Drosophila melanogaster: one gene and its partner. The protein of the gene in region 2 interacts with the protein of the main gene of each other region in a pairwise test. Each region holds a gene or a part of one and is shown on either strand. Other genes may lie near its edges. The genes, in order: Non1 and Cwc25.

What was found.
Region 1: the proteins of Cwc25 (region 2) and Non1 interact in a two-hybrid assay, tested with the Drosophila melanogaster proteins (one large-scale study listed by BioGRID).

The regions. Positions count from the first base shown.
Region 1 is NT_033778.4:9,384,307-9,400,958, forward strand, and holds Non1 (putative nucleolar protein 1), read right to left. Parts: upstream 14,429-16,652; 5' UTR 14,326-14,428; coding exon 14,278-14,325; intron 14,153-14,277; coding exon 13,878-14,152; intron 13,809-13,877; coding exon 12,173-13,808; 3' UTR 11,959-12,172; downstream 1-11,958. Other genes in the region: l(2)03659 (lethal (2) 03659), read left to right, coding at 6,064-6,103, 6,192-6,398, 6,538-6,598, 6,660-6,745, 6,806-7,114, 7,171-7,379, 7,440-8,977, 9,038-9,498 and 3 more; ODA-Dnal1 (outer dynein arm dynein axonemal light chain 1), read right to left, coding at 11,090-11,392, 11,447-11,558, 11,623-11,774; l(2)k10201 (lethal (2) k10201), read left to right, coding at 14,783-15,448; CG33774 (uncharacterized protein), read right to left, coding at 15,541-15,562, 15,642-15,742. UniProt on the Drosophila melanogaster protein: Involved in the biogenesis of the 60S ribosomal subunit. Required for normal assembly of the mitotic spindle. May be involved in both centrosome-dependent and centrosome-independent spindle assembly programs.
Region 2 is NT_033779.5:2,743,390-2,757,045, reverse strand, and holds Cwc25 (Cwc25), read right to left. Parts: upstream 11,949-13,656; 5' UTR 11,848-11,948; coding exon 11,830-11,847; intron 11,775-11,829; coding exon 11,552-11,774; intron 11,490-11,551; coding exon 10,165-11,489; 3' UTR 10,102-10,164; downstream 1-10,101. Other genes in the region: Bacc (bacchus), read right to left, coding at 752-801, 876-1,038, 3,386-3,631; Pgk (phosphoglycerate kinase), read left to right, coding at 8,665-8,726, 8,791-9,735, 9,794-10,034; CG9961 (uncharacterized protein), read left to right, coding at 12,122-12,279, 12,334-12,442, 12,509-13,588.

The DNA of each region.
Region 1 (16,652 bases), on a different chromosome or scaffold from region 2:
TAAGTCCAACGAAAACTTTACTTCAAAAAGAGAAACTATTTAAGCTGTAACTTTCAGTATATTATTAAGCAAATATATCAAAAACAATTATGTACTGCCTAATTACAATAATCACTGTAATCGTTTGTTTTTCAAGTTTTGCACTGTTATTTAAGCCAATAGTTTTATCCAATGCCAAAGTTATTTTATATAGTCTGAATTTACCTCTTTGCATTCCGCTTGTATTTGACTTTATAAAATGTAAATGCTGATGTTGATTTAGTTTAATTGGAATTTCCCCATCCGAGTGGTTCAAATATCAAGCGCACTTTAAAGTGAAACTTAAGTCGTGTTAGTTTGAGCATTCTGTTTGATTAAATGTTTGCTTAAATTGTGGCCCAAATGGTTTTTTGCCTTTTTTGTCCGGCTGCAAGGGTTGGCTTCAAGGGTTTCGCAGCTGAAGCTGCCATCCTTGTTAATGCTAATTGCATTTTGTCTGCCAACCTGCTCGGAGCAAATGGAATTACGGAAAATAGTTGCCGAAGACAAGAGGCAGCCAGCTGGTTGGCAAGGCCAACCCGCAAACCGCATTCAAGCCACAGAATGGCTGGCTAATTCAATGCTGCACAATTTGCTGCTCATTTTAGCCTAGTTTTCTGTTTTTTTTTTTGTTGTGAATTTTATATGTAAGGGGGCGGGGGGTAGATCAATAGAGGTCATGTGATTCACAGCCTGCCGCAATTTGCATTGAATATGCTATGATTTGATATGCTCATGATTTATGGCCAGTTTATTCTGCATAAGGTATACGCCGAGCTCATCAATTAGGCACGACAAGTGCGTATGTAAAATACGGATCGAAATGTCAATGCCGATTTATTGTTCAAAAATCGGTCAGCTGGGATATGTGCGAGGTTAGCATGCTTAAGGTTTGAAAATACTTGATAAATGGCGACGCGACATACGGCGCGAATATTTCGATGATTTAGGACTCCAAACGCCATTGTTCCAGCCAAGAGATGCGAAGTTTTGGTCATATACTGAGCTATATGTACATATGTATAATTTATCCCGCCAACACAACAGCGTGCTGCCAACTACATACCTCATATATGTACATTTTTATGTACTCGCACATTCCGCCGCAGCCTGGGCAAACATCTGCTGTATTCTCATCCAGAACCGGGCGGAAAAAAATAATATTGAGGCAGTGCTCGGTCAGGCGCAGAAACACACTCACAATGCCACGAATATGCGCATATAAATATTAAGGCTTTTTGATGGGTGCACAGGAAGCCTATGCACAGATTTGCGAAAGAAAGTTTCAAATGAGTTTCCATTGAAACGCCCTAATGCCAAATTAAGCCAAAATCCAGCTTCGGGTTTATGCGGCAGAAAATGAGACGTCAGACATGTCACATGCATACATATCACACACCCATCCACGCACACACACACACACTTATATTCAGTGGAAAGGAAAAAATTCAGAAGGAAAGTTCTGCAGGAGCAACCGAAAAAATGGCCAACAAAAAGAAGAGAAAACAGCTTATAATGAACGAGCCAAAAGCTTAGGCATCCATTGCCAAGAGTTTCAACGTTTTTGTGATATTGCCCATACGACATGTTGGCTTCCAATCACTTTCTAGCTAAATCGCAGAGATTGATGTTCCAATGCTGATGCCAAAAAACCAGTACAGTTGGAAAAAGCCAATACCCCAAAGATTTGTTAAATTCTGCTCTACACTCAGTGTTCATTTCGGGTAATCTACGCTTTGGCATCTGATGCTAAAAGTTTTAATGATGTGTCAGCTTCAGATAGCTAGATAGATAGATATATTGCGACAGAGTTTGGAAGGGTTGGTCAGCTGCGATGAAGTGCTTCCAGTGGGCCCAATGAGCAAGTTAAAAACTCGTGAAATACCCTCAACAAAGGGAAAAGTAAATTTACCATTACCCGGATTCCTTTATTTATTTGTATCCCTCTAATTCCTCTTAAGCTGAACTTCTTCCCACGCACAAACTTCAGTTTTGGGCAGCCAGGGGACAAAATCGAGGCCAAAATCCCGGCATTTCGGTCGAATGCGAATCGATGGGTAAATATAAGTATTTCGTGGCCCCGTTTTCCTTTCCCACTCTCCGCTGATTTGGTATTTCGATGTATTGTATAAACACCTTAATCAAATTTCACTTCAAAGACATGGAATTCCTGCTGTTTGTGCTGCTTACAAAACTCTGTTTACATATGGCTCGTACATAAATGTACGCACACATGGCTTTGTTTATAGTTCGGGCCTGTTGTCTGACAATTAATTGTGCATTCATTTTAATTAAGCTCCGTTCCTCTCGGGCCCAGATAAATGGCTAATTGTGTGGAAGGTTTGCTGCGCCAGCTGAGGAATTTTTCAATTAGCAAATGACATTGGCATCGATTCTCGTCACTTTGCGACACCAAAATGAACTTAGCAGGCCTGGCCAGCTTATGATTTATCCTTATCTGCGGCATACTTTGGGGCGCCCCTCACTCACACACTCGCACGCACACACAGCCACTCGTACTAACGAGGCTATCTGGGCAGCGGCAACAGCTTCAACTTGTTGACGTTGGCTCCCAGCCTGCCAGGATCCAGCATCCCAGCATCATGGCAAGTGGTGGGCGTAAAGGACGAAAAAAATAAAATCACCAGGCAAAGGGAGCCAGCAAATTGTTGAATGTACATGTACACTCCGTATCTGTGTGGGCGAATTTGTGTTACAGTGCGGCAACCCTAATTTGAACTTTTTAAGTTGAACTTTTGAAAGGTTGACTTTCTGCGTATTTTGTTAATGGAGGGACTTAGAATGGAGGAAAGCTCTGCCAATTGCAGTAAAACACTTACTGATATTATAAAATTAAAAAGTATATATACAAATAGTACCTAGCAGATTTATATATTAAATTACTTATAATTATTATAAGCTAACCGCCCACTGTTTGGTAACATGTACCAGCTTAAGAGTACTTAAAGTTATACACACATCCAAGTTGGGAGTTGCAGATATATGAAGTTGTCCTGTATTTTTTTTTTCGCATTCGCTCTACATACAAGCACCAACACAGGCACGCAGACACACGGACGCGGAGACTCGAGTGTTGGACTAACTGTTTTGCGGCATGCCAGAACCGAAAAGAGCGAGAGGACGCAGCGCGTGGATAGAGGGATGTGGCGAGGGGACGGAAGAGGCGCAGTGAAGACTGGAATGGAGGGAACGGAACGAGCGGAGGACGAGAACGACAGAAAGAATGGCGGAACGAAACAGGCCTGGTCCTGCTGAAACGTTAAAGAGCAAATAAATGTCTCGCAGCAAACAAACGAAAAAGATGAGTCGGTCAGAGGGAAGAGAAGTGGAAGAGGAGCAAGAACGGAGAAAGTGGAGAAGGGAGAGAGGAAGCAGACGGAGCCACAGAACTCCAGACGCACACAAGGATGCTGCCCGAAACACGCTTGCTTATTACCGTTACATTCGGGGACTACTCCAAGTGGGGAAAGCGGGCGAGAAAGGGACGTGGAGAGTCTCCTTTTTACTGCCCTTGTCGAATTTTATGTTGTTAATTTTCGTTTCATCCGAAATTTGATTGTTTTTATTCAATTGTAGGCTGCTCCGCTTTCTTTTTTATCGATGCTCTGGCCTCTTCACCATACTCTTGTTTTGTTTTACACTTTTTGCACTAAATTGTGCTGCCTTTCTTTGGCTATTTACGTGTAATTATTTATTTAATTTTTTTTGCTTAACACACGTTTTTTTTTATTTTTTTGTTAGCTCGGCAGGCTGTTGAATCTTTTATGAGCCAACCATCACCAGCACACACTCACTCCAACACGATGTCTTTTTTCCCGTTGCTTATTTTTCTTCTTTTGTGGTATGGCTCGGAAAAACCTCCGTTAACCGACGACGACGTGTCCACTGATGGAAATCTCGCCCAACACTGAATTACCCTTGGCATCAGTTCTGCCCTCTGCCAGCGTCGCTGCCTCCGTCGACGCCGCTGCCCGCCTAACAGGCTCTGCTAAGCTAACACTATAGGTCAGTGCTAATAACAGAGACACCTGCATCGCACTCGGCCAATCTGGCTTGCCTTAGTCTGTTATTTATACGCTGTTGCATATTTGAAGCATCTGTTTTCTATCGCAACTTTGTTGCTGCTCTACGCATGTGTGTGGGTGGGAATGGTGGTGGGTGTAAGTGTAAGTGTAAGTGGGTGGTTGGTCGCACTCCGTTTACGAGCCACGCTCCTAAGTAGTCTGTAGTTTTTCTGAGTACACATTGAGAAAAACCATACATGGCGGATGTGTAATTTTTTTCAGACATTTCCCACATTTATTTAGATTGCGAATGGTCCTCAATCAACAAAGGCCAATTAAAATTTCAACTTTTCGGTAATTATTCAAGGAACTTTTAGTAATAGCGTGGTGAATTAAACAACTAAATAGAGATATTCTTACTTAGAACGCGATTAGAAGTAGCACAATATGCTGTTTGTTAACTTATTTAAGTTAAATAAATTTCACTTCGTGTTTATTTTGTTATTCCCCTTTTTTGCGGTGTGTTCGGTGTGTTTTTGGTTTGTTGAGAGCACATTTTATGGTTCTGCTTCCGCTGCCCAAGCGGAAAACTCTTACTTTATGCCAAGCGTTCCGGGCATTATAATAGACCGACACTCTTCTTCAGCCTGCTCTGCACTCGTAGTGCTTTACGTTTATTTTAAAGGCTATACAGACCATAGAAAAATTGTACATTAAATACACACAAAGAGGGAACACATGTTGCCGAGAAAAATGGAAGCCCACCAAAAATGGCCGATTCGCGCAGCCTCCAAAAAGCTGTTGTTGTTTTTCGTTGTGCTGTGTGCGTAAAAACATGTAAATATGTATGTAGATATATACAAGCTAATGGCGGGCCCAAAGTATCCAGGGAATACATCAGAATTTACATCAGCCAAACACACTTGTATTTGCGTTTCATTTGGAGAGCACGCGCCATTTAATTTCTCATATTACATCTTCGAGGCACCGAAACTTGAGATGAGCCTAAGCTTCATTTAATTCGATGCCCGACTAGCACGTTATTAATATCCGATCCGTGGCCGATTCAGCAATCACACCGCAACAGCTGCGAACGCTTTGAGCCTCGAACTGCGACTGAAATCGAAAGTGAGTGGGCGGGGAACTTAACATTTCATTTGAACACCAGCAGGAGGATTGGCATCAGCAACAGCAATGCGGCAGCAAGTGGGTCCCGAAAGCCTTGGGAGCCCGGTTAACAGAGCGCTAACAGCCGCTGGCCCAAAAGTTGGCCAATAGGTCAATTACACTGCAGTGGCCAGAACTCAGAAACTGCCATTTGACGCAGCCCTCGACCAACTTCGCTGTTAAATATTAACAAATCCATCAACGTACACTGAGCTAAATTGCAGGGACTTCATTCTGAATTGAATGAACGCGTATTAGGATGGCCAAACAAAAAGAATGTGCGCTGTAAATTATGCGGAAGAGACGCCGTACAAACTAATGATAAGCAACCATAAAAACAAAAACATAAACATATGAACATTGTCTGCTCTATGTTGATAAGTATTTGAAAGCGCCGAAAATTGCGTTCGCTACACGCGCCAAAAGTTGAGAGCTTAAAGGTTTTAAAACAAGAACAATTACAAGAACAATGCGTGAGAATTTCTCTCTCGATCATTCTCTCTCTTCGCACTCTCCCTCTCACTTTCGCGCTCTCAATCTCTCTCTCTCCGGCTTTTGAATTCCAGTTCAAGTTCAAGATAGTCCACATAAAAAGATTGTTTGACAAAAAATAGTGTCTTCAATTTCCAAGGTGTTAGGTAGAAATTCGTGTCCCTTGCAGCACCATTCCCGAAGTTAATCTAATCTTTTATTTTATCGTTTTTATAATTACCACTAATCATAGACATAACTGAAAGCGTATATAAACTTCAGCTTGCTGAGTATTTCTTCATTGTGAAATTGAGATTATGTAACAACTGTTTCGCCATTCAAAGCCCGTATCTGCTCATAACTCGACCAGTAAAAACGTGCCATGAGCAAAAACGCGGGACCAAAGTTTTGTAAACAAAAAAGCACGTGAACAGTTTTAAAAGAAATATAAATACATTGACCAACCAAATATGGACAAGCAACCTGTTTTGGAACCAACATTCGATTCAGTTTCAGAAAGAGAGAATACATCAATTGAAGAATCTTCACTTCTGGAGAACAATGGATTCGATCACCGTAACAAAGATGAATCTCTATCAGTTAACACTTCTCCGCCCCTTGTATGCCGAAAATGCTTCGAGCTTGGACACCAGACCGAAAACTGCAAACAAAAACTGACTGTCAACTCAGAAAATAATTCTGCTCAGAATGAAAAGGGTAAAAATACAAGTTTTGGTTCAGCTGAAAGTTAATTTTCTGAATGGCAGAACTTTCAACCAGAACCAAAACTGATATTATATCTTCTAATTTATCCATATAGAATTATTCCTTAATATATTATTTTTCGTTACGGCAGAGAAAGTCCTTCCGGAAAATCCCCGAGCTCGATCGAATTTTATATCGTCATTATGCTTTTGGTATGTCATTTATACATTCATATATTTTTTACACCTTTTCACGATTATTCAACAAATACAGGTATACCATACCTATATTTCGTAAGGGTTACAGAAAAACATTGGACTCAACGGACCTCTATAGACCCTTGGAGGAGCAAAAGTCGGGTAAGAAATTTAAATATTATTAAAACATTTATGTTGACTAATGCAATCGTTGTATTGTAGATATACTTGGCAACAGGTTGTGTGCCTCTTGGGAGCGAGAATTAAAAAATGACGGACGAAGCCCAAGCCTCGTCAGAGCTCTGCTGCGGGTTTTTGGCTGGCAACTGGGATTCCCTGGTCTGGCGATTTTCGTTGTGGAACTGGGACTACGCACTTTGCAGCCGATCTTCTTGGTGAAGCTCATATCGTACTTTTCTGGGGAACCAGACGCTGCCAATGCTGGATTTTACTATGCAGTAGCTCAGATCGTTATCAGTGCCCTAACTGTGATGATCTTAACTCCAACCACGTTCGGCATCCATCATGTGTGTGAGTTTTCAATCTATGTAAATTGATACTTTTGAAGAACTGAGAACTTCTTGAAGGCTTTAAGATGCGGGTGGCCATGGGCAGCATGATCTTCCGGAAGGCGCTGCGTCTGACCAAGGGGGCACTGGGCGACACTACATCCGGCCATGTGGTCAATCTGATTTCCAACGACATCCCCCGCCTGGACAGCGCACCCTACACCGTTCACTATCTGTGGGTGGGCCCACTTCAAGTTTTGGTCATCACATACCTGATGTATCAGGAGGTAAGCAGATCCCCCCGTTCACCGTGTAAACTGATAACATCCATAACATTTCCCCTGCAGATTGGAATCTCCGCTGTGTTTGGAGTGCTGTTCATGCTGCTCTTTATGCCAATACAAATGTATCTGGGTACGAGGACCTCTGCGATCCAACTGAAGGCTGCCGAACGGACGGACAACCGGATTCGGATGGTCAATGAAATAATCTCCGCCATTCAGGTGCTGAAAATGTACGCCTGGGAGCAGCCGTTTGAGCAGATGGTCACTCACGCTCGCGAGAAGGAGATGAACACCATTCGCCAAGGACAGTACATAAGGGGATTCGACTTCGCCCGCAGAATCGTCCTCTCACGAGTGGCCATCTTCCTTAGCTTGGTTGGCTACGTCATCTTGGGAAAGGTTTTCACGCCGGAAATCGCCTTTATGATAACAGCCTACTACAACGTACTGCTGGCCGCCATGTCCATATACGTACCATCCGCCATTATCCAGACGGCTCAATTCCTGACCTCCATCAGACGCGTGGAGCAGTTTATGCAGTCCGAAGAGCTGGGTAGTTCGGACAAAAGTGAGGGTCCTTCCAAGGATACGGTACCCGGTAATCCACCCTCCAACAATAACGAGGCCGATCTTCTGAAATCAGCTATCTCCATTAGAGACTTGAAGGCCAAATGGGATCCCAATTCACCAGACTACACACTAAGTGGGATTAACCTAGAGATTAAACCCGGCAGTGTGGTGGCTGTAATCGGACTGACTGGATCTGGAAAATCTAGTCTCATCCAGGCTATTCTCGGCGAGCTGAAAGCGAATTCCGGCCAGTTGCAAGTAAATGGCTCCTTGTCTTACACCTCCCAGGAGTCGTGGCTCTTCTCCGGCACTGTCCGCCAGAATATTCTATTTGGCCAACCGATGGATAGCCAGCGGTACGAAGAGGTTGTAAAGAAGTGCGCCCTGGAGCGGGATTTCGATCTGCTTCCCTTAAGGGATAATACTATAGTTGGAGAGCGCGGAGCAACCCTGTCGGGTGGGCAGAAGGCCAGGATCAGTTTGGCGAGAAGTGTATACCGGAAGGCGTCCATCTACCTCCTGGATGATCCACTGAGCGCAGTAGACGCCAGCGTAGCACGTCATCTCTTCGATCAGTGCGTGCGGGGTCATCTACGCGGAAGCACCGTAGTTCTGGTTACCCACCAAGAGCAGTTCCTTCCGCACGTCGATCAGATTGTGATCTTGGCGAATGGACAGATCAAAGCACTGGGCGACTATGAGTCGCTACTCAAAACGGGCCTTATCACTGGTCTGGGAAGTCTATCAAAGACAGATAAAGCAAAGACAGAGGAGCAAGAACCATTGAACCTTAATTCTCCCGACAATAAAAACGAAGTAACTCCCATCAAGGAAAACTCCGAGCAGACCGTCGGAGGTTCCAGCTCGGGAAAGGAGCACGTGGAGCGCCAGGAATCAGGTGGCATTAGTTTGGCTCTGTACAGGAAGTATTTCCAGGCGGGAGGTGGATTGGTGGCTTTCCTTGTCATGCTGAGCAGCTCTGTGTTGGCCCAGGTGGCTGTAACTGGTGGTGACTACTTCCTTACTTACTGGTAAGTTGGTATAACAGGTCTGATTAAGCCTAATTGGTATAAACTCCTTATATTTTCAAGGGTCAAGAAGGAGAGCACTGCTGCTGGCCATGGCGAAATGGAGGATATGGAATCGAAAAGCATGGATGTATACAAATACACACTGATCATAATATTGTCAGTTATCATGAATTTGTCGTCGTCATTTCTGTTATTCAATATCGCCAAAAAAGCATCTATTCGACTGCACAACACCATCTTCAATAGAGTTACTCGAGCTGACATGCATTTCTTTAGCATTAATAAGCATGGAAGCATTCTAAATCGTTTTACCAAGGACATGAGCCAAGTAGACGAGGTCCTTCCCGTGGTTCTGGTGGATGTGATGCAGATTGCGCTTTGGCTAGCCGGAATAATCATCGTTATAGCCAATGTCAACCCGCTGCTGTTGGTTCCAACACTCATGCTGTCCGTAATTTTCTATCATCTGCGCAACTTATATCTGAAAACCTCGAGGGACTTGAAGCGCGTAGAAGCTATAAGTACGAATTCCTTACATTGAATGCATTCAGTATCGATAGAAACTTAGTATTTGTACAGATCGATCACCAGTTTACTCGCATTTGGCTGCTTCACTGAATGGCCTAACCACCATCCGAGCCTTGGATGCCCAGCGCGTTCTGGAGAAGGAGTTCGACAGCTACCAGGATGCGCACAGCTCTGCATTTTTCATGTACATAAGTACATCGCAGGCATTTGGTTATTGTATGAACTGCATATGCGTGATTTATATATCGATCATAACGCTTAGTTTCTTTGCCTTTCCTCCGGGCAACGGAGCTGATGTTGGTCTGGTCATAACACAGGTAAGCCATTACACTAAAGCAGTCACTATCACCTGCCAATCACCTTTTGGTTACCCACAGGCCATGGGACTGATCGATATGGTTCAGTGGGGAGTACGTCAAACCGCCGAGCTGGAGAACACCATGACAGCCGTGGAACGAGTGGTAGAGTACGAGAGCATTGAGCCGGAAGGAATGTTGGAAGCTCCGGACGACAAGAAGCCACCCAAGACGTGGCCAGAACAGGGTGAGATCATCTTTAAGGAACTAAACCTTCGCTACACACCGAATGCCAAGGCAGAGAATGTGCTCAAGTCGCTCAGCTTCGTCATACAGCCCAGGGAAAAAGTGGGCATAGTCGGCCGAACTGGAGCGGGTAAATCCTCGCTCATTAACGCCCTCTTCCGGCTATCCTACACCGATGGATCCGTGCTTATAGACACGAGGGACACACGACAGATGGGTCTGCACGATCTGCGCCGACAGATCTCGATTATACCCCAAGAGCCTGTGCTATTCTCCGGTACCATGCGATACAATTTGGATCCCTTCGACGAGTACAGCGATGAGAAGCTGTGGGGCTGTCTGGAGGAGGTGAAACTGAAGGAGGTGGTGTCCGATCTGCCCGATGGCCTGGCCAGCAAAATCAGCGAGGGCGGAACCAATTTCAGTGTGGGTCAGCGCCAGTTGGTCTGCCTGGCCAGAGCCATTCTGCGAGAGAATCGCATCCTTGTTATGGACGAGGCAACGGCCAATGTGGATCCTCAAACGGATGGCCTCATCCAAGCCACCATTCGCAGCAAGTTCAGGGATTGCACTGTTTTGACAATAGCCCATCGATTGCACACCATCATCGATTCCGACAAGGTGATGGTTATGGATGCTGGACGTGTTGTGGAGTTTGGATCGCCCTATGAACTGATGACCAAATCGGATTCCAAGGTATTCCACAACTTGGTCAATCAGTCGGGTCGAGCCAGCTACGAGGGACTGCTGAAAATCGCCCAAGAGGTTAGATTTAATTAGTATTCTCTAAAAATGAATCCTTTAATGAATAATTTACAATTCATTGCAGACATTTGAATCCTCCTAAGGCCGCAATACTTACTAGTCCAACTGACCAGTTAGATAAACTAATATTTTAAATAAAAATCTAAAGACGAAACTGATTTCTAAAATAGTACATGTTGTGTATTTTTCAAGATTTTTTTTTTTGTTTTCTGCTATGAAAGTTCGCATGGAAAACCCAATCTCTCCGTCATCCATATAAACCGAATGGCCATCAGACTTAAAGCTGCGGCTCCTCGTTGAGCACGACTGGTTCTCCGTCCAGTTTGCGGATGGTGGGCAGCCTCTTGATGCACTCCGCCCGCCAAGTGGGCTCGTCCAATCCCTCGGATAGGGGATTTCCTACCACCACTAGATCTTCGAGAGATTCGATCTCGGCCAGGCGATTGAATTCCGACCAGTCCTTGATCAAATTGTTGCTTATATAGAGCACCTTCAGGCATTTCAGACCAGTCAAACCCTTAATTTTCTCGATTAGGTTGTAGCTGAGCCACAGCTCCTCCAGAGTTTCAGCCACCGCTTCCTACATAAGAGAAGCAAATGATGTGCTAATGGAACCTATCTAATTCGTCCTTACCAGCCCGGATATCTGCTTAATGTAGTTCCGTGATAAGGACAATACCTTGAGGCACTTCATGCCCGATAAGCCGAATATCTTCTCAATCATATTCGTGGACATACTGATTCTCCTGCAGGGGAAACAGAAAAGTAGGAGTTCATTTTCCTCGAAGAACTAAGAACTTTTAAGCTCACTCGCACTGCACCAGCGTACCCAATGTGCTGTCCATTTTCTCGATGGGTGGCCACTGGAATTGCAGATCAATAACCTTGGCAGTCAGGGAATTTTGCTGCTCCCGCTCCTCCCAGCGCTTCAGAGCCTCCTTAATTGTGGTGGCTTTGGACATGATGTTGCTGTGCCGAACAACTTTTACTCATTGGACAAGAAAATTGGTAAAAACCAAACAAACTTCCACGTTGCCAAGGTGAAGTAAGAAACGAGCAAATATCCATGGGGGTAAACTTTGTTTGTGCTAAAGACAATAGTAATGCACATGCTTTTCAGGTCTCTCTCTTTATATAAACTTTTCCAGAAGTCAAGGCTCTTTGCTTTTTATGATACAAAAATTCCACCAAAGTTTACTGAGTGTGTGATGTGTGGTCCCCGAAAAATAAACAATTTGTTTGTAAAAATACAATATTGTATTGAAAATGTTTTTCAGGGATAAAGATAGACGCTTAGTTTATACAGAGGAGCAGGCGAGCCCACCAGGTAGAATCACTTAACCAGCCAAGGCTGCGGCGCTTAACGGCGATCCGTCTTGCCATTTCCACGCTTGCCGGAGAACAAATGCTTCGGCATCTTGGTGCCGATGAAGCGATCCGCCTCGCCCTTGAGACCCCTGCTTGTGACCTTCTTGGCAATATCCCGCTTGGCCATAATTTGCGCCTTCTTGCGAATGGCCAAGTTCTTGATGCCCAGTGTGTCGCGCGACGGCGCCCGCTTCAGAGGCTGACCAGTCTTCCTGACCACCGCAGAGGACTCCTTGTCGAGCAGCGGCTGCATGGGCACCTTCTTGGAGCCAACTGCCACCTGGCCACGACGCAGATCCACCACGGACTTGGTGAAGTTGGCGTTCTCGCTGCCGGACATGTCCACACCGAGGCCCTCCATCGTCGACACCAGTTTCTGTACGGAACGGTCACGCACCTTGGGCTGCTTGTTTCGTGGGATGACTGGCTTGTTCTTTCGCGACGACAGTCGCTTTTCGTCGCGCAGCTCGAAGCGCTTGCCACGGATTTGCTTGGCTATCTCGCGGATCTCCTTGAGCGTCTCGTCCATGGTCATATCGGGCACCTTGTAGACGCCGCTCTCCTCCCGCAGTCCCTCCTCGCGCTCCAGCTCCTCCAGCTTGTCGAAGATGTCGGCATCGATGTAGTCGGCAATGTTGTGACCCTGCCAGAACTCTGGAATAATGTCGTAGCGCTCCTCCTCGGGGATTTCGCTGTAGTTCTTCTTGAGGTCCAGCGTGTAGTCGTCGCCCATCTCCTCCTCGATCTCCTTCTCCAGCTTGCGCTTGCGCTCTGCCTTGTCGGCATTCTGTAGCAGGCGCGCCGAGGCCTTTTCTGGGATGCAGGGTGCACGAAGTTTGTCATCTCGCGGCGCTGGCATCGCCACATGCAAGCGGTTCAGGATGTTGTCCACCTTCTTTGTGCGCATCTTCTGGTCAACACGGTACGAGAGCAAACGCTCACATGCCTCGGTTTTCACCTCCATGACACCGGTTTCCTGTACGGTGGACATGAGCATTACGGGAATGTTCTTGTCCTCCTGTAGTTTGGTGATAATCGCTCGTCGCTCCTCTGGCAGATCCTCTGGTGTTAGAATATCGATCTTGTTGATGGCCAGGATGAGGGGTTTGTTTGTAAACAAAGGCTTGATGCTCTCGAACAGCTTGACCTGTTCCTCCAAGGAGTGTCCGCACTGCTCGGAGATATCCATGAAGTACAGGACGCAGGCGCGCAAATGAGCCAAGGCAGTAATGGCTTGCATTTCGATCACATTGCGCTCTTCCAGGGGATGATCCAGGATGCCGGGTGTGTCAATGACCTGCCAGCGCAGATATTTGTAGTCTGTGTGTCCCACGTACAGGGATTTCGTGGTGAAGGCGTAGGGCTGCACTTCCACATCGGCGCGGGTGATCTTGTTGATGAACGAGGACTTGCCCACGTTGGGGAAACCGCAGATGATGATGGTACGCGAATAGGGATCGATGGTGGGCAGACGCGAGAGATGCTGACGCACTTGCTCCAGATACGTCAGATTGGAGGCCTGTCGCTTCATAATGGTGGCCATGCGACCCAGGGCAGCTTTCTTCAACTGTTTGCAGCGATACAGCGAGTCACCGTACTTCAGCAGGCGCACGTAGTCCTTGGCCACACTGCGGGATAAAAAATAGAATAGTTAATCGAACCTTGTTCGTTTGGGGATCTGTGACTTTGGCACTCACTTGTCCACCAAATGCCTGGCTGTGTTGAGTTGACCCAGCGCCAGCTTGTAATGATCCTTGTCGTACAGCACGTTCATCAAGTCGGCGTAGAAAGGATGCACGTCGTCCAGTTTGGGAAAGTCCTGAATGATCTGCGACAAGCGATCGTGGAAGTTCTGCTGCGTGTACTTCACCTTGCGCGTGTAGAATGCCCGGATTCTGGATATTTTGTAGCCCTTGTGGACCACCGTCGGGGTCTTGCGCTGTGTCTTCGACAGCATAATGTCGATGAAGTCCTGTGGAAAGGGCAAAAAATAAAATATTATTTACATATTGCGCATATTGGTAAACACCTCCAGTGAGGTTATGTCTTTGCTTCAAGGGGTGCTCCGCGGGACGGGCGCTGCTGGGTACACCTTACCTTTGCTGGCGGAACCACCATGATCTTTTTGAAGTTGTACAGACTCATCTTGGCAGGATTTGTTTATTTTCCACGCGTCGAAAGGAAAATAAATGCGGAATCGAAAGCAAAAACACCACGCGGTGTCAGCTTCGTATTCCAAAAAGAACCGGTTCTCGGGCGGAACCAGTTTAGGTTCACATGTGCTGCACGGCGATGCCAGCCCGCGTAACTAAGTCTGGCGATGTGGCATCATTTCAAAGGCATTTAAGATGTTTCAACTTAATTGCAGTTGTTTAATATAGAAATATATCCATCTAAAATATGAGCGAGTATTTCAATTCATTAATTATGTCTATTTTACGTATGCACTTCAAAAATTGTATTACTATTTCAATTCAAAAGGAAATTATTTTTAATTTTTATATAAATTAAACAAAATCACATCTTCCAAGAGGCAGTACAGTGGAAACATGTTGAAACTGGCGTAGGAACCAAAACAAAACATTTTGGCAACACAAACAAAATGGATTCGGAAGCTGCGGGAGTAGCACTTCTCTCCAGAGAGCAAATCATCAGGATACTAAGCGAAGTGCCAGCGGGATTCATAAAGCCCACGGATCCGCCTGCACCCAGTTTGGCGCCCTTCAAGAAACTCGGCGTTCTCGTGGACATCGATGACATCTTGGGCGAGCAGGATGCGGCGGCAGCTAGGATCAGGGACAACATAGATAAGGAGCAGAGCTACAGCTGCGTAGAATGCCGAAAAATGCTGCCCACTGCCCATCTACTGGATCTGCACATCACCGAACAGCACGATTGCTATTTTGCCGCCAGCGTGGAGCGCGGTGACAAGCCCATGTTTTCCTGCTTTCTGGAAGAGTGCACCATCAAGTTTCATACTGCCCGGCAGCGCAAGGATCACTGCATCATAACGCACAAGCTTCCGGCAAACTATCGCTTTGATCATAGCAAGAATAGGGGCAAACAGAAGCATCAAGGCAAAAGCAAACCCAATTCCATGGAGGTGGACGAGGTGATAGAGGAAACTAAAAGTTTGCCCTACGTCAAGGCCTTCAGCTTTGGACATCAAACGCAGAGGAGTTTCTACACAGGCAAAGATCAGAGATCTGGCAAAACACTGGACGATGTCCAGGCCATGAAGGAGGCCATTAACGACATCCTGGATTAGATTTGTACAACTACATATTTATTTTGCGAATGAAGCAGCATTATCATTATCCTGGTAGAACTATATTAGTCTGTTAGCGGAAACATCCTACATCATTTTGCCTTGGCACTGGGCCTGTAAATAAATGAAAATCGGTTTTATTGTTGATTCCGGGCTGTCTTCTTCCTCTTCTTCACCAAGTGGGATTACTTACTTTCCGGTATTGGCATTAATATAATGATAGGCAACCACCAGCAGGAACAGAAATACGCCCAGAACGTTGGAGAAAATGGCCAATTGCACGTCGGTGATCATTTTGCAGACAGTAACACGTTCTATGGATAAAAACAAACTAATTGATTAGAAACGAAGTGGGCGAGTGACACGTCATGGGTGCGGTGTGGAAATCGCGATTTCTGGCCTATTTCTGTATCCACCAAAATGCAACGCGGGATTATGCATCTCATTTGTCGATTAACTTCACCGATTGTTTCGTTTGCGTTCATTAACTTTAGTTTATTACCTTTTTCAGCGAAAAAACGAGCCGGTTTTTATTGTGTACAAATATTTCAGCGTGACCGTAGATCGACCACTAAAATATACCGATATACCTCGCGAACCATAAATAATACCAGATATACCAAACCGGATATTTAAAAAAAAAATCGTTTTCTTTTCTTTTTTTTCAATTTCAAAATGAACGTCATTTATAAAAAGTAAAAGGTTTCCACCATATTTTATTTTTATTTCAATAACTCCATAACATTTGAAATCCAAAACTCGTTATCACCTTTTTACTACAAATAACAAAACCATATTCTTAATTCTATTTTATTTTCATAAAAATATTCAGCGAACAATTGTAAATTCTCGCCAAAAATTATAAATTAACATATTTAACGGCCATCTTAGAAATATTTTAATTATCTTTCCGTATCCAAAGCTTAAAACTAGTTTACATAATACTTATTGCTTTCATATATTTTTTGCGCAGCTCTGTTTTAAAGGTCACTTGTTTTGTGGAAATTGTTGCGTCAGTTAAAAATATTTAGTATAGCTATCGTCATACACAGATCTCTCAATTGCTCTAGTTTAAATATTAAAGAAGGCACTCGAGTGCACTTGCAGCTAACACATACATTCACGCTCAGCTCTTAAAATGCCAGTACAGGAATAAATTAATTGGGAAGGCTCGCAAAGCTAGGCTTCACTGTCCCCATGAAGA
Region 2 (13,656 bases):
GCTAAAACTTGAGTGTCATTGAATGCTTGTCGAGTATGGGGTTTCAATGATTTTTGCGATTTATTTAAATACAATTTTTATGTTTTATTTGTTTTGTATTTAATTGCATTTGCTGTTTCTTTTTCATGTTCATAATCATGTTCATTTTCAAATGTTCACTTTTGTATTTTTGCTTCTTTCGATCGATCATTCATTCACAAATGTAACGTCTAATTTAATAATGAATTTGAATATCGTGTGTGTGTGTGAGTGTAGTGTATCTGTGTTTAATTCGCGGGCTTCGTTTACGCTACATTTGAAATCTTTGTATATCTTGGTTTACGCATCAACTGGGCGTTTAAATTAGGACTTATGAGATAAAGGAAAGAAAGATTTTGGTTTTGTTTTGTTCTTGTATATAGTGGGGATGTTTACTTTTTGTTGGATTCCGTATAGGTTGCGTTTATACGAAAATGCCTTCAATTACAATTTTTGTTTGTTTTGTAGTTTTTTATAAAAAAAGTACACATAAAATACAATTAAAATAAGGTAAGAAATAAAAAATTATTTCTTAAACATAAAAATTATATACTTTTGCGATTTTTTTGTGGTTTTTTTCTCCTCCTCCTCCTCATTTTCTCCTTGTTGTGGTTTATTTTCTGCTTGTTGGTTTATTATTATATTTTTTTTGTTTTGTTTTTGCTTGTAACTTTTATTTATTATTAATTTAAATTTTTGTTTGTTTTTGTTTGTATTTTTGACTACATTATTATTACGCCTGATCGTCCGAGCCGGAACCGTCATCATTATCATCATCATCATCTGCGCGGGTAAGGGAAAGGGAAAATCCGGGGATTAGATTGATGTGGAAAAGGGAAGTGCTTCCGTGAACTCACCATCACATTCAATGTCATCCTCCTCACCATCGTAGGGGATGTCGTACTCGTCGCTCTCGATTTCACTGTCGCCCTCGATGATTTCCTCCAGAGCCTCTTCCTCATCGGAATCTCCATCGGCGGCCGCGGCCTTCTTGGCCTTCTTTGATTCTGCGGATTTGGCCTGGAAGCGAAAAAAGAGAAGTTAGTAGAGTTCCTTTGGTTTTTGTTCCGCTGATGATTTACTGTATTACAAGCAAGTTTATTGAACAGAAATAAGGGGCCCGTCACTATTAATTATGCATTTTTGATATTAATCTGAGAAACAAACTAAAGGATATTAGGGAGAATTACGGAGCGAAATGGTCCTACGCGCCCAACTCAAACCCACACATCTCCTTGATCAAGGGCATCCAATACCCCTCTCAACTTCCTGTGCGTGTGTACATAGTCATAAAATGTATATTTTCAGCACACAAAACAAGCAGCGACGAAAATCGTTATTTTCGCCGTAAAAAAACATTTGAAAAATGCGCGCGCCAATGTAATTCGCTGCGGCAAAAAGAGACAGCGGGAGAGAGAGTACGTGAGAGAGTGGATTACAAGTGCAACCGCGCTACATTACATCTGTGCTCCGTATGTACAAGGCGACATATTTACTACATAAGGGGGAAGGAAAAAAAAACAATAAGCAGCGACGCCGGCAGCGACATATGTATCCGCATCCGTGAGATACGAAACGAAGCGTGCCCTGTAAGATAGAGAGCGGGCGAGAGCGCCAGAGAGAGAGCATCTGAATCCGCAGCACTGTAAACTGTACCTGAACTGCATGAATGAATCTCTCGCTCTCACTCACAGCCATCCGAACGACAGCTGCTGCAGCGACGTCGGCAGCGAAAAAGGCGCAAAACAACAACATGCGTGGGTTTAACTTTTGCCGCTGACCAACCAACAACAAGATACACATAATGGTATATGGTTTATGGCAGTATATAGGCGGTCACGTTCCCAAGTCGAAGAGAAGCCGCAACACAAGGGCCCTATTTACCAGACTGTTACAAAGCGGAAGAAGCGAAAAACAATCGGACTGTGGAAAAATGTGCAAAATTAATGGCCACCCATCGCCCCCCTTTTTCACTTCGCTTACAGCATAAGTCACGAGACCCAGAACTCGAGAAAAGGCCAATAGAGGATTAAGACGAACAGGGTGTATCTGTATTGGCAAGAACTAAGCCTACTATTACTGGTGTTATAACTGGGTAATCAATGTATCTTGATTTAGTTAGAGGTTTTAGTTTGTGTTTTCTAAGCGTGAAGATACATTTATAGGGACAAAAGCTAATCTGTTGTTTGGAATCGAAAGATATGGAAACCAACGAATAATTTTCAAAACTATTCTTGAAATCTATACAATTCGTTACTGTACCACTAAGAATTATCCGTGCCAAACGTATCTCAACTAATTCATGATCATGGGATAATGATCATTATTCAATTGAATCCCGAAGAAACCCAACTAACTTTTGCGACACCCTGTTTAGCCGTCTTGTTTTATGTACTAAAATAAATACGCATAAGGCAGAGCAGAAAAAAAAGTGAAAGATAAATGTAAGCACATACGCAAACAGACAAAACGGTGTGTATACAAATTACGAGGGAGAGAGTTAGCAGCGCTCTCTATTTGTATCTATCTTTCTCCGGGGAGAGAGAGAGAGAGCGAGAGAACGCTCCCGTTAAACTGTACATTTTTATTTCGAGTTTGAGTCTGAGAAAAGCGCTTGATTTGCCAATTTATCTGCCTTACTGGCCGAACTATTTTATTTTTATCAAGAAATGTGCTACTCGATTATGGAATGCGACTGCTTCAGGCCCCCAAAACTTGTTCGAATACCGCGTGCTCTTGGCGATACTAACCAAAAATAAAGTGGCCAAACATGACATGAGTAATTTACCGGCCGGCAATGTGTGTTTTCATTGAGAGAGTGCATTGGCATCGCGCTGAATTGCGTTTGCGTTTGCATTTGCAATTCCCGTAGCCACAGCGACTGATAAATAAGGCCAAGCGTATGAGTTATAGACGTAATGCCACAATGTATCTATTGCTGGGTAACGCTGTTCAGCGGACACGTCAATGCTAATGACCTATGGGTTTATTAAAAACACATTACCCACCCCACCAAAGAAAAGGCCCTGGCTAACTGTACTCCCCGCCTATATAAGCACGGCGGCCCTCCTAACCTCGATTTGAACCTAACAACAATAATCTTTGATTGCCGGACCCGCAATCATCTTGGTTAATCGTAAACAACACAAACGCACAACCGAGCCAGCTATACGCTCTCTCTTTTGGGGGCATATGTAAGCCATTGGGAGAGTGCGCTGTTCCGAAAAACGTGTGTATATCTATTTCTAGAATTTTTCCTCGAACAATGCTATGCTACTGGCATATTGGCTTGGAGTGAATCATTAGAGGGGCCTCCTTTTGGTTTTACCGCGTAAACAACTACCTAGTCACATAGATCAGTACTCACTTCTGCTGGCCTCTTGGTGCCTTTCACGGATTCCTTTGCGGGGGCAGCGGCGGCGGCATCGGCGGCATCCTCGCCGTCCTTTGACGTACCGTTGTCGGCCGCGTCGCCGGCGGCATCGGCAGCAGCGGCCTTATCCTCGGCGGCCGCCTTCGCCTTGAGATCGTCCTTGACAGCAGACACATCATCTGCCGCCACCTTCTCCACGGCCACATCGCCGTTGTTCTGTTGTTCCGTAGCAGCCGACATATTTGAATTGGTTTCTTTGAGGTTTTCCGGAACTATTTAGTTTCTGCGTTATATAGAGAACAATTCGGGTTGGTTTTGTGGATTGTCTTGTTGTTGACAAAAAACCAGCGCAAAATACTCGGGGAAGGCGAGAGAGAGACAGAGAGAACCGCACCGAACGAAGCACACAAACACACTGAATGCGATTCAGCTGCGGGCCGTCTATTTAAGCACTGCCTCTCGAGGAGAGAGTAACTTTCTTTAAACGCTCTCGCTGCTCTCTTTTTCGCTCTCCCCGAAATCGTTACGACGCTCACTCGCTCTCTCTCTCCCACGCCATTGGCCCATACAATACACTCAAAAAATCGCCGCGGCATTTGTACAGCCGCAGTCGATAAGACAACAACAACAGCCCAGAGCAGAGCGATCGTTGGATTTTTGGTATATTATTTTGCGGTGATTTTCTGATAATATAGTATCTATATAGTAAGGCTTTAGGAGGTGCCATATATCAGGCGGCGCTACGGCAGGCAAAAGGATTTACTCGTAGGCCCCACTGATGTATGGAATATCCGTTTTCCTTTGGTTTGCTAACCACCGATATGTGCTCCCGTCGACGGTTCGTACAAGACTGAGCTTGCCGTCCGTTCGATGGCTAGAAATTGCCGCTTGCTTCTTCTTGCGCCAAATCGGTTGCAGACATTTTTGCCTATAACTTGAATACCTTTGTTCGGATCGGTTCAGAGACTGATCGAGGCTATAGCTGGTAGTATCCGCTTAATTTTGGGCTTTTTCCCGAGGCGCTGCGATCAAAACTAGATCCGCAAATGACAAGTTGAGTGGGTTTCCTGATTAATTCCATACAAAATCTGCTTGGGTTCCGTGAGTACGGTTGTGGGCGCGTTTGGCGGTAAATTTGAAAATTGCGCGCGCCAGTGGTGCGCTTGTGGGCCTGGGGGCGGGGTCTGGGGGTTGGTAGCGGCGATGGTGGTGTGTGGTGTGTGTGGTGCAGTCACTCTGTGGCGTTCTGACCGTTCGTCGGTGGAACAGAACAGAACAGAGCAGAACAGTGGATGTGGATGTTGCCGATGGGAAGAAGTGTTGCAGCATTGTTGCCGCAGATGCAGATGTGTGTGCTGTGTGTTGTATTCAGCACGGTATTCGTATTTATAGAGTGGACCAGCGTGGGACGCAATGTCGTCGCGGATTGGGGTCAATTGATTGGTAACGTGTGGGGAAGCAGGTGATTTTCGCGGACCAGGAAAGCGGGCAGCTATTTTTGAGATTCTAACTATTTAGATGCACGCAATCGGGGAAATGCTCTATTCCGGGATTATGCGTCTTAAAACTAGAATTAGAGAACTGGAGAAATAGCAAGAAAACAGCAATTTGCAACCCCATAAGATTCGAAAACATTTAAGGGTTAGTTTTCGAAATCGGCAATTTCCAGAAATATTAAACATCCTTAAGTCCTAATGGCCCCACCAAAGACTTCGACTTAAATGCCAATGCCTATCACTCGTCGAATTGGGTCCACCCTTGACTCTTTTTTCATGTGCCAATCTTTCTGTTGATCCCGCACTTGTGGTTCGACCATTTGATGGTGATGGCTTCGTTCGCCGCACGAACCCAGTGGGTTCAGGAATCGCCCAATATATGGGAAACTGGAACTGCCGAGTAGGCTATAACATATCGCCCATATCACCTGGTAGTCAACGTGCTCGAGTTGTACTGGCTCTTCTCTATAAATCTGTGTTATCAGTGGGACAATCACTGCGAGGTTGATCTTCAAGTTCATTCAAAATGTGCACATTAACGAGCGGAATAACAACCCATAAAGTAATACTAGAGGAATTCGACCGGAAGACATAAGGTTCTTGGTGCTATTTCCAGTAGCCTATCGACGAAAGGGTAATAACTATCGTTTGCCGGGTATCCAACAGTCGAGTTTCGATTGGACAGCCTCTCACGCTTTCAGCTATTTTCGTGCGAAAGCAATGGCAAATACGAATACCTAGGCTATATATCTGGTAATCTGAATAATACGGTCGACGACAGAGCGAGCGGACGACTGTCGACAGGCGGATCGCTAATTAAAACCGGCGAACATGTTCCGCGGCATCCCAACCGAGGCGGCATGGTGAACGTAAACACCTGTAATCGTGGCCCGTCGTCCACTCAGTTATCACATATTTGAGGAGCAGCGATGACTTTTTGCCTGAACATCGCTGCCTGATAAGCCGATTTGCGTCTCCATTTCGCTGTGCTTCCATGGGCCGCCTACCGTTCTTCTCTGGCTGTCACTGTCTCACTTTCCGTCCGCCGAACTCTCAGTATCCGTTCGAGTGGCTTGACGCTCGTCGGCCCAAGATTGGTGGGTCTCTCGCGATACGAATAGTCGTGCTCATCGGGCTTGTGAGACCACCTCTCGGTGTTGAACAATGGTATCTAGATTCCTGAGGACAACCTGTGCCAATTTCTCGAGTTATCGGCTTGGTTGGTACGACCGTAGTTACTTCAAGGTTAGACAACGGTTTCAAATGCAGGCAACCACCGGGTAGGTAGGATCTCAAGCAGGCAGAAATGGATGGATGGTCCTGCTTCCCGGAACCCAAACATCTGTCGATTCGGAAATTTTATGGCCCTTTCGAACACGAAACTAACGCAAGGGATTTTTCCCCGACCGTTGTCGTTACTGACCTGCCTCAGGAATTTCTCCCAGTGCACTTACACGTTGTTGCGTCATTAATTTGCTGTAGCATAAAGGTGCGAACAAATCTCAATGCAAACACAATCGATAGCCAGACGCTTCAGCTAGCATGTGTATCTAAAACACACACATCAGCTTGTATTCACGGCGATTAAGTTTTTCGCTCTTTCAGCTTAATGCGGTGCTTAATAGATTTCTTCTAATCGGGTTGTTAGGCTTTTCAAAAACGGAAGTTTCAGTTCTTTTGACAGCTTTATTTCGATATGATATCATCGATAGCATGGTAAACAATGTATGAAGAGTAGCGCAGCTCACCGTTCAGATACAAAACCAATTGTAGCGCATACGAATAGCCACCATAGGCTGTCCCTTCTAGCGCTTAGGTACCCAACAAGATGGCTGGGTGGAACAACATGAACAGGTTTACGACTCGATTAGAGTGATTGTTAGACTGTTGCTAGATGGGCGATTCGCTTGGTCGCTTGGCTGTTGTTTGGCTGCTTGACTCTCTGGATTCTTGATCTCTAGCGCTAGCACGTCATCGCCGTCGCCGTCGCATTGGACACTTTCGGAGTCGGGTCTCGTTTTCCCGGCATGTGCTAATGTTTCCACACGAGTGCCGGGCCACATGGACGCGACTCGACCAGGTATATGTACTGGCCCGGCTCACCTGCTCGCCTGCGTTTCACCTGCGTCAACGGGCGGTTTACACGCAATTATTAAAATGAATTTAAGCAGCCCCATTGTCTTCGATTTCCAATACCACCTGACCCAGCAGCAGCGCCGTGGTGTCATCACCAGTGGGTACCCGGGTCCTCGGCGGTGCCTTAATTGCGCAGAGCACCACAGCCGTGACGTGTGAGTGGACATTCTTCCGACGGCTGGCTGAAGGATGAAGGAGGACAGCCGCTACCACTGCAATGCTGCATCTGAAGTGCCCCAAATAGGCTTATACGCACCCCAGTCTCCCAGGCAGCCACCCAAAACCCCATCAGATATGGCAATCTATCGATTATTTTAGTGATGTGCTCACATTACAATTGGTCCTTTGGGCAGATTAGTTCTTTGAAAACCCGCCACTTTGGCTAGAAAACCCCCGAATGGCCAGCAACCAACCCAACCTCGTTCGTTCCCATATACCTTACTTTGCCATCTGCGTCATGCATTTCGCTGCACTGAGCACTTGTGGTGGGTGGTGGTGTTCCGTGTGCTGGGTGGTGGGTGGTGATGCGGTGGGTTAGCGTTTGGTGGTGCCAGTGCCGAGTGCCGCCGGTGGTTGCTTGGACCGCCGGAGATGAGTAGAGATACAGAGTGGGCAACAATGAATGAATCATTGGGGGAAGAGGCGGAGCCATCATCATGGCATCATAAGCGGAATCCGTTTGCACAGTCAAAATAAAACAACGGCCACCGAGAAAGATTGTGTGATTTGACTTTGTTGGCCTCAACAGAAATCATTTATTCAATAATTACATATTGACATACAAACATCAAAGGGGCGGCTGTTACATACGGTATGGACATATGTATGTACGTCGTAGATTATTATTATTTATTAAATTTTTTTTTTATTATTTTTATAAATTAATTATAAATTTTTATAAAAAATCACTAATTCGGACTTTCAGTTAAAATTTAACAGACATTCAAGGGTGTGGAAGAAAAAAGTTCTAAGGGGTTAAAATTTATTATAAAAAATTTATTAAAAAAAATAATTTTTATATGTATTTAAGTGAAAATATTATATGAACGGTTTCTATTTAAGTTAATATAAAAAAAATTGTATACTGTAAATAGCAAATGATCAATTAAATGATCTAGTCAGAATATGCAGACATTTATTTTGTTAATTTTTAGCATATGATTATCTATGGACAATATTTAAATATTATGAAAATAATGATATTTTAAATAATAGATTTTTAAATTTTAGAATTGTGTGGCCCCTTTTCGACACCCTTGGAACGGATGCTTCACAGCACTGTGCTGACAGCACTTACCAACACTGCTTGGGCGCCAAATACAGAGTTGCATTTGGAGAGTACAACTTTTATCCAACTTTCGAACGAGAATACAATCCGATACCAACTTCGGACTCCAAAATAGGAGTATACCCAGCTGGATCCTGCGCATGGCACCTACCAATCGGCGGAAAACCGCTTGCCACGGATTGACGCCCTGGAAGTGGAGATGCAACCCTAGCAGCTCACCGACAAAATGACCTTGCGCTGACATTGCCGCACAGCAGTTGAGGACGAAGAAGATTCGCGGAATCAGTGGTATCGCAATCCGGAGTTTGCTAGCACGCACAGGAAGTATCCAGAAAATCCAGAAAAATCCAAAGATGGCCTTCAATAAGCTGAGCATCGAAAACCTGGACTTGGCGGGCAAGCGGGTGTTGATGCGGTAATCCAAAGCCAATCCTCGCGTGAAATTCAGTTGCATAAACATTGCCCGTGCTTCTTTGCAGCGTCGACTTCAATGTGCCCATCAAGGAGGGCAAGATCACCAGCAACCAGAGAATTGTCGCTGCCTTGGATAGTATCAAGTTGGCCCTTTCCAAGAAAGCCAAGTCGGTGGTGCTGATGTCCCACTTGGGTCGTCCCGATGGCAACAAGAACATCAAGTACACCCTGGCACCCGTGGCCGCTGAGCTGAAGACCCTGCTTGGCCAGGATGTGATCTTCCTAAGTGACTGCGTCGGCAGCGAAGTGGAGGCCGCTTGCAAGGATCCCGCACCGGGATCCGTCATTCTGCTGGAGAACGTCCGCTTCTACGTGGAGGAGGAGGGCAAGGGCTTGGATGCCAGCGGCGGCAAGGTCAAGGCCGATCCTGCCAAGGTCAAGGAGTTCCGTGCCAGCCTGGCCAAGCTGGGCGATGTCTATGTCAACGACGCCTTCGGCACTGCCCATCGCGCCCACAGTTCCATGATGGGCGATGGCTTCGAGCAGCGCGCAGCTGGTCTGTTGCTGAACAAGGAGCTGAAGTACTTCTCGCAGGCCCTGGACAAGCCACCAAATCCCTTCCTGGCAATTCTCGGTGGCGCCAAGGTGGCCGACAAGATCCAGCTGATTGAGAACCTTCTGGACAAGGTCAACGAGATGATCATCGGTGGCGGCATGGCCTTCACCTTCCTGAAGGTCCTCAACAACATGAAGATCGGCGGTTCCCTGTTCGACGAGGAGGGCTCCAAGATCGTCGAGAAACTGGTGGAGAAGGCCAAGAAGAATAACGTGCAGTTGCATCTGCCAGTGGACTTTGTCTGCGGCGACAAGTTCGCCGAGAACGCTGCCGTCAGCGAGGCCACCGTGGAGGCCGGAATTCCCGATGGACACATGGGTCTGGATGTGGGTCCCAAGACCCGTGAGCTCTTCGCGGCACCCATCGCACGCGCCAAGCTCATCGTGTGGAACGGGTAGGTGTCACACTGAAGCTACTTCTCCAAATGTCCTATAATGGTTTTCCCATTTTAGACCCCCCGGTGTCTTTGAGTTCCCCAACTTCGCCAACGGCACCAAGTCCATCATGGACGGCGTGGTGGCCGCCACCAAGAACGGCACCGTCTCCATCATCGGCGGCGGCGACACTGCCTCTTGCTGCGCCAAGTGGAACACGGAGGCACTCGTCTCGCACGTCTCCACCGGAGGCGGCGCTTCGCTGGAGCTCCTGGAGGGCAAGACACTGCCAGGCGTGGCTGCATTGACCAGCGCCTAAGCGTACATATATACGGTATATTAATGTTAATCGCATCGTTTACCTTGTAAGCACAAACCACGACGTTAAAAAGTGTTGAATCTATTTGTTGCGGAACCATATAATGCATACGAAATAAAGGAATCCTAGTTTATTTGCGGGCAAAGTTGCTGTCCATTGAGGAGGCGGTGCGCTGTATGTTGTTGAGATTGGCCCGGATGCGATCGCCAATTGAGTTATGGTTGGCAATGGCCTTCTTCACCTCCTTGTTAATGAACTCCTTGTCGAAGTCTCGTTCACGATTTTGGGCCTCCTCGCGCGCGTATGCTTCTCGGTGCTTGCGAACCACCTGGCTGCGATCCGCTTCTCTCCAAGTGGCGTTGTCCATCATTTCGCGCAGGCGAGCTTCTCGGTCGGCTTCGCTTAACTTTGGCTTGCCGGTGGGACGGCTGGGAGGCGGTCTTTCGGCAATCCTTCGCTTGTCATCTCCTTTGGAACTTCGGCTCCTGCTGCGTTTTGATCTGGAACGCTCTTCAGGTGTCCTACTCCTGCGTTTCTCGCGCTGCTTTGAAGTGTCCTTGCTTTGACGTCTGGCTTTTCTGTCCTCTGGGCTCCTGGTTCTTCTCTGTCTTCTCGCTAAGGGACTTCTGCTCCTGCTCCTGCGCCTTTCCCTTCTCTCTTCTGGACTCCTTTGCCTTTGCCTTTGTTCCGGACTTCTACTCTGTCGCTTTTTTCTATCCCGGGGGCTTCTACTCCTGCGTCTTTCTCGCTGATTTCTGTCCTCTGAGCTGTGGCTCCTTTTGTGCTTTCTCCTTGGCTCTTCCTCTTCGTCACTACTTTCGTCACTGCTATCGCTGCTTTTCTTCTTCTTGGATTTCTTGCTCTTTTTCTTCTTGGTGGCCATGTCTAATTGATTTGAAATGGTGCGGTACTTGGCGTCCAGCAGCTTGTCCAGTTTAAGGTCACCTTGGTCTCCCTTGAGTTTGCTCACTTGGCGGGCTAATTTTCTGTCCAAGTCATCGTCGCTATCATTGCTCTCGCTGTCACTACTTTCCTCATTGCTGGATCGTCGGTTCTTCTTCTTCTTTTTGGATTTCTTAGACTTTTTGTTCTTCTTGTTCTTCTTCTTTCCCTCTGCGGCCTTTTGTTCCTGTTCAGTCTTGAGAATGCGATGGATTTCCTTCAGCTTGACGGGGTTCTCAAGCAGCTTTCGACGGGATTCCATTTCGCGCTGCTTGATGAGCATCAGGGGATCCTCGAGGGTCTTGCGCTGTATGTCCACCTGTTCGTTGGACTGCACATTGCGGTAGGTCCGGATGGAGAAGGGCACACAGTCGTGCTCCACATGGTTGATCGTTTGCTTGAGACCCACTGTGTTCTGCTCCTGGCGGCTTTCCTCCGCTTGCAGCGTCTCAAAGGACTTGTCGATCTTACGGCCCAGGAGGTACTCCTCGCGGTTGATCAGCTCTGTGCTGTCTGGAGCAAGATAAATATGTATGGATAATGAGTTTTATAAGAGTTTCACATGTATGACTCACTTTTGTACATCCACTCCAGCTTGGCCTCGCCGGCGGCTCCGCCATTATTGCTCAGCACTCCGGAACTTTCGCCCAATCGCCTTAGTTCCTCTCTGTCCCGCTCCTCGTTGATCTCCTTGCGCAGATCCTGCAGCTTGCGCTCCTCCATCTTCGCTTGCTCCTCCGCCTTCCAAACGCGCTCCTGGTTTTTCATCGTGTGCGGATGCCATGATTTCTTCAGATTCTGCGGGAAAAATCAATGGTAATTGACGGATAATCAGTTGGGAGACATTACTTACTAGATCTCCGCCACCCATCTTGGGTTTGATTTGCGTTTTAACAGCAAAACAAACAAATTACAAACAATTCCAGATTTTCCCTCCTTTTCTGTTGTTTTCAACAAAATCATATGTTCGCCCGGGCTGCCAGATCGTGGTGAAGTAATTTAACTTGGTGTTGCCATAGGGTTACATTTTTCTTTTACTTTTTCGAAAATTATTGAAAATAGTTAATTTAGTTACTTATTTTCATAATTACTTCCTCATCGTGCATTGTATTTTCAGTCAAAAACAGGTAATAAATTTATTTAATATGCTTCCAATTCGGCAGAGTTTATACCAAAGAGCTCAAACTCGATTTACAAAATTAAGATTTCCAAGATTTTTTAGCAAAGACGATTGCAATGGAAAGCAAGTAAAGAAGTTGAGCTTAAAAAATGTAGATGTGGCTGGGAAAAGGGTTTTTATGAGGTGAGTATCCTTGCCAGATATGTTTTAGTGTGTGATTTATAAATTTATTTTTAGAGTGGACTTTAATGTACCCATGAAAGATGGCAAAATAACCAACAACCAACGAATTGTTTCCGCACTTCCCAGTATTAAATATGCCTTGGACAAGAAATGTAAGTCCTTGGTGAGTTGATATATCTTCCTTCAATTCCTAAAAAGTATAGAACGAATAACTTAATTTTTTGCCTAGGTTTTGGCATCCCACTTGGGGCGTCCGGATGGCAAAAAGAACAAAAAGTTTAGCCTGGAACCCGTGGCCAAGGAGCTGGAGAGTGTGCTGGGCCAGCCGGTTCAATTCCTGGACGACTGCGTGGGTGATAGCACCCTGAGAGCTTTGAAGGATCCCTCCGACGGCACTGTGTTCCTGTTGGAGAATCTTCGTTTCTATGCCGAGGAGACGGGCAGCAGCAAGGACGATAACAAGAAGAAGGTCAAAGCAGATCCCGCGAAGGTGAAGGAATTCCGAGCCAAGTTGGCGCAGCTGGGCGAGATCTATGTGAACGATGCCTTTGGAACAGCACATCGTCCGCATAGTTCCATGATGGGCGATGGCTACAAGGTGCGAGCGGCTGGTTTCCTGCTGGACAAGGAACTGGAGTACTTTGCCAAGGTTCTCCACGATCCGGCCAAGCCCTTTTTGGCCATTCTGGGTGGCGCCAAGATAGCCGATAAAATTCCACTGATAACGAACCTCCTGAACAATGTAACGGCCATGATCATATCCGGTGGCATGGCCTTCACCTTTCTCAAAGTGCTCAATGGCATGGAGATTGGAAAGTCCCTCTTCGACGAGAAGGGATCCGAGTTGGTCAACGACATAGTCTGCAAGGCGAAGGAGAAGGACGTGAATATACTATTTCCGATTGACTTTGTCATAGCCAATAAGATCGACAAGGAGCCGGATAAAGTGGAACATGTGGATGCCACACAGGGCATACCGGAGGACATGATGGGTCTGGACCACGGCCAGGCATCCAGTCAGATGTTTGCTGGCGCTATTTGTGCATCCAAAACCATCGTCTGGAACGGACCGCCAGGCTTGTTCGAAAACGAGCTATTCTCCAAAGGCACCGAGTCCATGCTGGAGGCAGTAATCGGGGCCACTAACCGAGGAGCCACCACAATCGTTGGTGGTGGGGATACGGCCACCGCTTGCTTGAAGTTCGGAGGCGCCGACAAGGTCTCGCATGTGTCCACCGGTGGAGGAGCTTCCCTGGAGTTGCTGGAGGGTAAGGTTCTGCCTGGAGTGGCTGCTCTTTCGGATGCCTAAACGCACTGCTTTACAATGGTTATTCCACTTATATGTACATGTATCTTAAATTCAATTTGGACAATTTA